2 linked regions of the Rattus norvegicus genome follow. The protein of the gene in region 2 binds, or shares a complex with, the protein of the main gene of each other region. Links are inferred from orthologs where the notes say so. Each region holds a gene or a part of one and is shown on either strand. Other genes may lie near its edges.

Evidence for each region. Proteins that work in one complex are often made in the same cells at the same time.
Region 1: Lamtor4 (region 2) and Lamtor3 share a complex: the UniProt entries of both Homo sapiens proteins name them as parts of the ragulator complex. The link is inferred for Rattus norvegicus from reciprocal best matches to the Homo sapiens genes LAMTOR4 and LAMTOR3.

Annotation. Positions count from the first base shown.
Region 1 is NC_086020.1:229,083,532-229,087,749, forward strand, and holds the start of Lamtor3 (ragulator complex protein LAMTOR3), read left to right. Parts: upstream 1-1,358; 5' UTR 1,359-1,439; exon of another isoform or gene 1,440-1,468; intron 1,469-1,656; 5' UTR 1,657-1,693; coding exon 1,694-1,702; intron 1,703-2,767; coding exon 2,768-2,802; intron 2,803-4,218. UniProt on the Homo sapiens protein: As part of the Ragulator complex it is involved in amino acid sensing and activation of mTORC1, a signaling complex promoting cell growth in response to growth factors, energy levels, and amino acids.
Region 2 is NC_086030.1:22,371,039-22,375,083, forward strand, and holds the start of Lamtor4 (ragulator complex protein LAMTOR4), read left to right. Parts: upstream 1-1,230; 5' UTR 1,231-1,299; coding exon 1,300-1,302; intron 1,303-1,741; coding exon 1,742-1,822; intron 1,823-4,045. UniProt on the Homo sapiens protein: As part of the Ragulator complex it is involved in amino acid sensing and activation of mTORC1, a signaling complex promoting cell growth in response to growth factors, energy levels, and amino acids.

The DNA of each region.
Region 1 (4,218 bases), on a different chromosome or scaffold from region 2:
CATGCAGTGTGGGACAATCGATGTTATCGAAAACACGCTGACTCACACGGCTGAGCTGGCCTGTACGAGATCAAGGCAGCCAATATTCTAGCATGTAGTGGGAATGGTTCATGGGCCTACCTATAATGAGGAGCTGTGGACAATTGACGGCTTCTGAGAGAGGGACTGTCAGTGTTCTTTAAGGGTGGCCCCTGGTAGGTTGACCATGACCTATTGGATAGTCCCACAGGCCCAGGAGTAGTTAGATGATCAGCACAAACTGGACTTGATGGGTTATTGGGATGGGTTATGGGGGTGAACCCAAAGTTTGGAGGGTACAAATATGGGGGTGAACCTGGGAGGAGTTAGGGCAGGGGTAAATATGATCAAAATATATTTCATGAAATTCTCAAAGAATAAAAGTGTTAAAACTTTATGGGAATGAAAAGAAACTTGTGTAATGATTTAGTAGAGGAATTCCCAAGTATGGGCTCCCATACAGCTGACATTTTCTTTAATGGTACACACAAGGTAAGAGCTAATCTGCAGCAAAACCACCATCTTCAATCCCCCCCCCCCCCCGAGCTCACGCAGCCACTGGGGAATATTTAGATCCCAGATGATTTTCGTTTGTCCTGGGGGTTTTCTACAGGAGTCTCCTAAGCGGACTACTGTGCCGCCCTCTACCACAAAGAATGTTCGTGGTGTCACAAAGTGTCAGTGGTGGGAAACACCAGGCCAAAGCAAGTGGAGAAGCCTTCCTTTTGCTAAGCATTCTTGCCTTCCCCTTACAGTAGGCTTTCTTGAATGTACAAACATCAACAAAAGATATAGACAGTTTTTTACAAAGCTACAACAAAAGCAGGTCCTAGAGCCAAAGCAGGCAGCCCAGTGCATGCATGTTCAAAACAGACTTGACAAACGAGCCCATAGGTCCATGGCTCCTGCACTTCTAGGTAAAAACTGTAAGAAAAGAGCATGTAGGGTAGCACCCTCAGGAAACTGACTTGTAGGTTGGGTCATCTAGGGATCTGGGCCTTCTAAGTAGGCTTTTCAGTTCGTGCTTCTCAAAGGTCTTCATTCACAAAAAGATTTACATAATGGGTCTGGGAAAGGTGTATGCATACTCCGCACAGGACCGTCTTCCTTTGTAGGTGTGTTCAGTAGAAATTAAGGCGCAGGGACCTCAGACGCTTGATTAGCGGCTTCGGGTGCAGGGCGCAGCGCGCAGGCGCAGGAAAACTCCGAAGGGGCGGGGGGGGGCGGAGCTGCCGCGCGCGCAGTTTCCGCTGGGTCTCCCCGGAAGTTCCGAATCACCAGTACTGGAGGGTGCAGCAAGTGCTTCCTGGATCGCCACGGAGGTCACGAGTAATGTGACAGCGACTTGACAGGCAGCTTCAGAGAAGCGACTGAACTGCGGGAACACCGGGGCAGGTGGAGCGCGCGTTGCGTCTGCAGAGGTCGCCCCTTCTCTCAGCTCCGGGACAGGGTGGGTGGGGAGAGGTGGGCCGTCCGGGCTGGCCACCGGGCAGGGTCCTGGGGACCTCCCCACCCCCTTGACGGAGATCCAGAACTCTCGCTTGGCCCTGGCGAGGGTGGACCTCGTGATGCTGGCTGGGGCTGGGGAGGGTGAATAACCCCCAGGTGCGGGGGGAGTCACGGAAGTTTTCCTTCCAGGAGTGGAGACTGATTCTGCGAGAGAAAGGGGTTCATCATGGCGGATGTGAGTTGACACCCCTTCCCAAGAAAAATGGGGATGTGGGAGGTTTGCATGAGGCTTCTGAGAGGAAGCTAGAATTTTGTTCCGTCCTTAGCCTCTCCCCTCTTCCCGGATCCGGATCCGTAGTAAGGACTTGCAGGGACCTTAGTTTCTATCAGGAACGGTTGTGGTGGGGCACTCTTAACCCGAGAGAACTGTACTCTTCCCACCTCCTAATCCTATTGGAGCATACATGAACTCTGTGTGGGTAACTTCGGAAATTCTAAAGGATGACTGACTGCCCTTCCAGTCAGTACCTGATCCAGAGGACAGTGCTCTGAATACTTTCCTACCAAATAAATGCTTAGTGTCTCATTAGACTCAGCATTGCAATCTAAAAGGATTTCTAAAGGGTGCCCCTTTCGCAACCTGTATTCCGTTTCTGTGTGTCTGTTTAAGACGAGAGCAAAAGTTCATGGTGGTAACATGGGAGAGGATACTCATTTAGGTTTGTAGATAAAGGTTCAAAACAGGACACATTTAGACTGGAGGTCATAGTTATGCTTGTTGGCCAGGAATATTTCTAGATGCATGTATAATGAGAGAAGGTGGCTTTCTGTTCTCTTAGTCCTTACCACGTTCTCTGATAAATCTCCACATTGTCATTATCTTTGTCAAGAAACTGGATATTAAAGTAGTTTATCTGAATTAGGATCATTAAAAACAATCGTGGAAGATCAGTACGGACATAGGAAGAGATTTATAGACTATTCCTAAGGGGACACAGTAGCATCAGGATGTAAATTATTAAGAAACACATGGTCTCATTTTATAGTAAATAATGTATTTGTGTTTCCCAATTCCAAGTACACCAACATATATACCTTATGAAATTTGATTATCCCTGTATACATGTAAGGAAACATACAATGGATCTGAGGCCTGGAAAAAGGTTAATTAACTTCTCCCAAGTTATACAAGTAAAAGATGAAATGCCAGTTACAAATGATGACCTCATGTCCTTTGGGGTATGGACAGGGCTAGAAAAGCACACAGTAATATGATCTTTAAAAAATTATTCTCTTTCAGGATCTAAAGCGATTCCTATACAAAAAGTTGCCAAGGTAAGAAATTACTAATTTGTTGCTGAATAAATTCTGCGCAACATGTTAATCTTACAAAGTGTTTTGTTTCTCCTTTTTAAATTAATATTTTATAATTGTCATGGTAATTATTTGCCACGTTTTAATACAAACTAACCCCAAGTATCGTAAGTAATGACTAGTTTCTAGATAGATAACTCGAAGCCCAGGCTGTTAAATGACTTGTGTATGGTTCAACAGCAGATAGGTACTAGGGACAGAACTTAGATTTCTTGCCACTTTGAATTATTTTTAAACACACTATCATTGGTGTTTATTAGATTATTTTTTAAAGTTCTTAAGTAAATTTAAGAAAAAAAGCTTAAGACTTGCCATTATTTTCAAGTCTATTTTACTATTGGGACCTAATTGCTGGTCAACATAATCCAAAAATAGTTGGCTCAGAAAACAGTTCCCTACCTGTTTTTAGGTGCCGTTCTTACAAAGGCCTTAACAGGTGGTAACGTTAGCAGATTGCTTTTACGTATTTTACTGATCCAAAGGACTTTCTCACTTGAACTCATTGAAGCTCATTCTTAGTTTAATGTGAAAACAAAAAACAAAAAAAAAAAAAAACGATGTCTTTGTTGACAAGCACGTCTTTTGTCTACATCCACATCTTTCTACAAATAACTCAGAACTCGTAATCATTAAGGATGAGCAAGGAAGGTAGGGAAGAATGCCCGAGTCTTTGTTTTCACATTCCAGAACAAAGCAGCAGATTGGATTGAACAACCTTTGAGGTCATCAAGCAGAATATTCTATGAATATTTTTCTATTTGTGGAATAATATAAAAGTTATTTATATTATTTTGTCTAATCTTCCGAGTCTAAAGTTATAAGCGCTTGTGTGCAGATATCAGTTTACCTCTGTAGGTTGAAAAAATTAACACTGGTTTCAAGTTGCTTGAATTGTTGGATGTATGGCTTTTGCTTTGATTGTAGATCAGTGGAAATTAATAAGTGTGTTCTGGTTGTGATCTATATGGTGTATATAGAAAACACCATTGGCATGTTAAGTGAGACAGTGATAATTATCGATTTTATGTTAATGAAATCTTTAATTAATTTAAATTAATGTAATTAAATTTAATTTTAATTCTTTTTCTCATAATAAAATGGCAAATTATAGAGACCAGCTGCTGGTTCTGTTTTCACACAAATGGCCAACATGACAGGCAGTGACAGCTTTGCATGCTAACTAATGAATGGCAATAGAAACAGTGGTACAGGCTAAAACCATGCAGGAGAGGGTTAGTAACTAGTGGGGGAAATAATACTTGTTTTTCTGACCTTATAACATTTCAAAACATTAAAACTTTTCTCGTTATTGATTACTAATGCTTGGGGGACTGCAGGCTGCCCTCGTGTGCTCTCTAAAGCCATGATAAAACACTG
Region 2 (4,045 bases):
ATTGTTGCCATGTTGAATTCCGGGCCTGGGCATGCTGGGCAAGTGTTCAAACTCAGACCCATGCCTCATTTTTAAAGACATGCATTTTCTCTAATTAGCTGCTTCTCCTAAACCAAGACGATTTGGGGTGGAGGACTTTCTTTCTTGAGCTATGATTAGTGCTGGGGATACAGACCAGATGGAGAGCTCTTACCCAGCATGCGCAAGGCCCTTACTTTGCTTCTCGGCACTGAAAATAAGGGGGGGGGGGGGGAGGGTTATATAATTCACAGATCTTGAAACATTTTAATTCAAAGTGTACAACCTATGTCACAGTCACAAAGATAGGCAGACTTCAATACGAATCCCAAAAAGTTTAAATCACACGTGCCACTCCCCCCCCCCCCTTAATAGGCACTTCCTATTTTCTCTTGCCTCACTACCGACCACTAACTGCTTTCACGTTTTTCTGGATTTGCCAGAAGTGTATGTGTTTTAGTTAGGCTCCTGGTAGGTAGCTCAGGCTGGCACTGAACTCACTATTCAGTCCAATCTGGCCTGAACTTGAAACCCCCTTCCTTGGCTTCCCAGGATTTATACCAGTATTACAAGTATTCAGCGTCAGTCACAGCTAAGCATCTTACATAGATGGAACCACATAATATGTGGTCTTATGTGACTGCCCTTTCAAGCCAGTCCTTCTGGTTGATTCTGAGCCTCTAAAGGCTGAGTTGTCTCTGAAGCTATTCTTCTGGCTTGCTTTAACTTGCTTTCGAGATTCTCAAGTTGCTCTTGGTGTCAGGACGTTTTTCCCTTGTATTGATAATATACTACAGTGTGCATATATACACCAAATTTGATTTACCCATTCATATTTGGGTCGTATACTAAGGCAGAAAATTAACACGTGAACAGTTTTTCATGTGTAAACCATCGTCATTCACATTAACTTCTCTTTTCAGGTTGAACCGTGACACCTAACGGGGAAAGCTCTTTACAACACTAGACTGCATTACTTTCTCCTTGGAAGCCTAGGCGCACGCGCACGTTCGTGAGGAGGTGGAGAGGTGCCCCGCCCCTCGCTCAATAACTCTTCAGATAATCTCGCAGGCGAATCCTGAGTGGCGAGGAAATGCAACCAATCCACGAATGTGTCCGGAAAGCGGCGCTCCGCAGTGGTTGATAAAGTCTGATGACGTACGCACCATCCAATGCGCAAGCGAAGGGCTGGGCTAGAGTCAGCTGGTGAACCACCTGACCGGAGCCTGGAGCCGGAAGCTACCTATCCGGTAGACAGCTCCCCCTGCACCTACGGCTGCCATGGTGAGTGAGGACGCATGCGCGGGCTTGTGCGCCTAGGGTTGCGCGTCCCTGTTCCCCAAACTTCGGTTACCCCCTTATGGCTTGCACTCCGCTGTCACCCCCAGTCCACCCTGGGACCGAAAGGAAACAGAGATGGAAGGGAGGCGACCGGGAGGGCTGGAGAAGGAAGGCTCCGCTACCGGGTGTTTTGCGGCCGGGAGTAGTTTTGATGGCACAAGGGGCGGGGCATAAGGGCACTGGAATGAGAAGGGGCTGTGAAGCTAGGAAGGTCTCCTGGGTCACCTGCCTGACAAGTGGAAGAGCTCAGGCGTCCAATAGTGACCATGGATGGAGACTCAGTGTTACAAGCCATTTAGAGGGTCTGAAAGGCTTATATCCAGGAGGGAGATGGGTTTACAAGGCTGTCATGGTTCTCACCTCTTGCCTCTTTACCCACTAGACTTCCGCACTGACCCAAGGGCTGGAACGAATCCCAGACCAGCTTGGCTACCTGGTGCTGAGCGAAGGTGCAGTGCTAGCGGTGCGTTGTGGGAAAGCGAGGCATGGGGTGGTGGCGGTGACGGGGTCCTTTGGGGACACACAACCCAGAAATCCCTTCAAATATTTCCCGCTTTCTCTCAGTTGTCTACTTTTGTCCTCTCTGTGGTTCCCTGCTTGCCATATTTAATGTTTGGATATATGGTATAAATGCTTATTTCCAAAAGGTTGGGGTTATAGCTCAGTCAGGAGAGTGAGTTACTTAGCACGTACAAAGCCTTCAGTTCAATTCCCAATACTGCACAAAACCAAACACAGAGGCACGTGATCTGTAGCCCCAGCACTTGGAAGGTGGAAACCGGCAGATTAGAAATTCAGGTTCATCTTTGGCTATGTATCAAGTCAAATCACAGTCTGGACCACATGTAACTCAGCCTCAAAAAACAAAAACCAAACTTTACCAAAGTCATTCAATTAGTTAGTTACTTGTAGTATGTTTTTATTTGGGATATCTTTAAAAAAGCCGAGGACAACCTTTGGGAGTGAGTTCTCCTCCTGCCATGCGGGTCCTGAGGATTGAAATCCGGTCCTTAGGCAAGCACTTTTATGCTCTGAGCCATTTCACCTGCCCCTAGAATTTTGGGGGGCGGGGGCAAGACTTCTCTAGAGGCAAGGATTGAGCTGAGCTGCTAAGACAGAAGGTTGTGAACGAGGAAGAGAATTCTCAGGGCTGGGAGCTGGACATACTTGCCTGAGTGTAACAGCGCCTGGTTGTGGTCTTGTGTTGAAACAGTTTGAAGAGGAAGGATGCTGTGGTAAGACTCTGATACTGAACTTCCTATGGCTAGCTTCAATATCTTTGGACAAATCTTGAGGGTTACTTAAAGGGTTTTGAAAACATAAATGTGACTCACAGAAATGGTGTAGCATGACTGTCCCAGGAGAGCCATCTAAGAGACTGGCCGGGTAGCAATGAGAAGTAAGGGCTATAGACATTGTATCTATTTTTTTAGTGTCTGCACATGTGTGTGCCCATGCATATGCTAAGACCAGTGTAGGACATTAGAGACCTCCTCTTACCCTTCTCTGCCTTATTCCTTGAGGCAGGGTCTCATACTGAACCTGGAGCTAGACTGGCAACACTGAGCAAGCCTTAGCAATCAACCTGCCTGTACACCCACAGTACTGGGATTCCAGGTGTGAGCATGGCCATGTAGGGTAGGGGATTTGAACTCAGGTCCTCTTGCTTGTACAGCAAGCGCTCTTATCCACTGAGCCATTGCCACAGCCCAGAGATCACATCTTAGAGGTATTAATATATGTTGGTAATAACTAGGTAAAGTACTTCTGCATGTACCTTACCTTTCTGATGTACTCATCCTGTAGGACTCTGAGCAGGGAAAACCAGAAAAGTACTGTGGTACCTGAACAAATAAGAAAGTAAAAAAGGAAGCTGACCAAGGAGGTAGCTAAAGGGAATTTTGATGGCCTGACTATAGACAGGAGATGAGTGAGGTCTGAGATGAGTGAGATGGACTGATAGCAGTTATAGTACATTTATTATGTAGGCACTGTTATAATATTCTCATTGTTTTCTCATGAAACTTCCACAAGCACAGAATATGGGTCCAATATACAGATGGAGAAACTGAGAGCAAAAGGAACTAAATCTAGTAAAGGGCCCATTTAGAATCAGTGGGAAGAGGGAGTAGAAGCAGTTTGTCCAGAGAAGTCTGGACTACTGTCTTCTCATTGACCCTAGAAGTAGCCAGAGGGAAAGCTTCAAAGACAAAGTAGGTGTTTCTGGTTCATAGCCTTCAGACAAGGACAAGTGGGAAGACTGGGGACAAGTGGAACCTTCAAAGATTGAGCAGTTAGCTTAGTGGTAGAACATCTTCCTAGAATCCTCTGTGAGGGGCTGAAGGCATGGGTCAGTAGTAGAACACTTGCCCAGGAGTCCCCCAGTGAGGGGCTGGGGGCGTGGCTCAGTGGTAGAGCCCCTGCCTAGAATCCCCCCAGTGAGGGGCTGGGGGTGTGGCTCAGTGGTACAGCCCCTGCCTAGAATCCCCCAGTGAGGGGCTGGGGGCGTGGCTCAGTGGGAGAGCCCCTGCCTAGAATCCCCCAGTGAGGGGCTGGGGGTGTGGCTCAGTGGTACAGCCCCTGCCTAGAATCCCCCAGTGAGGGGCTGAGGGCGTGGCTCAGTGGTACAGCCCCTGCCTAGAATCCCCCAGTGAGGGGCTGGGGGTGTGATAGATCACTTGGTAAT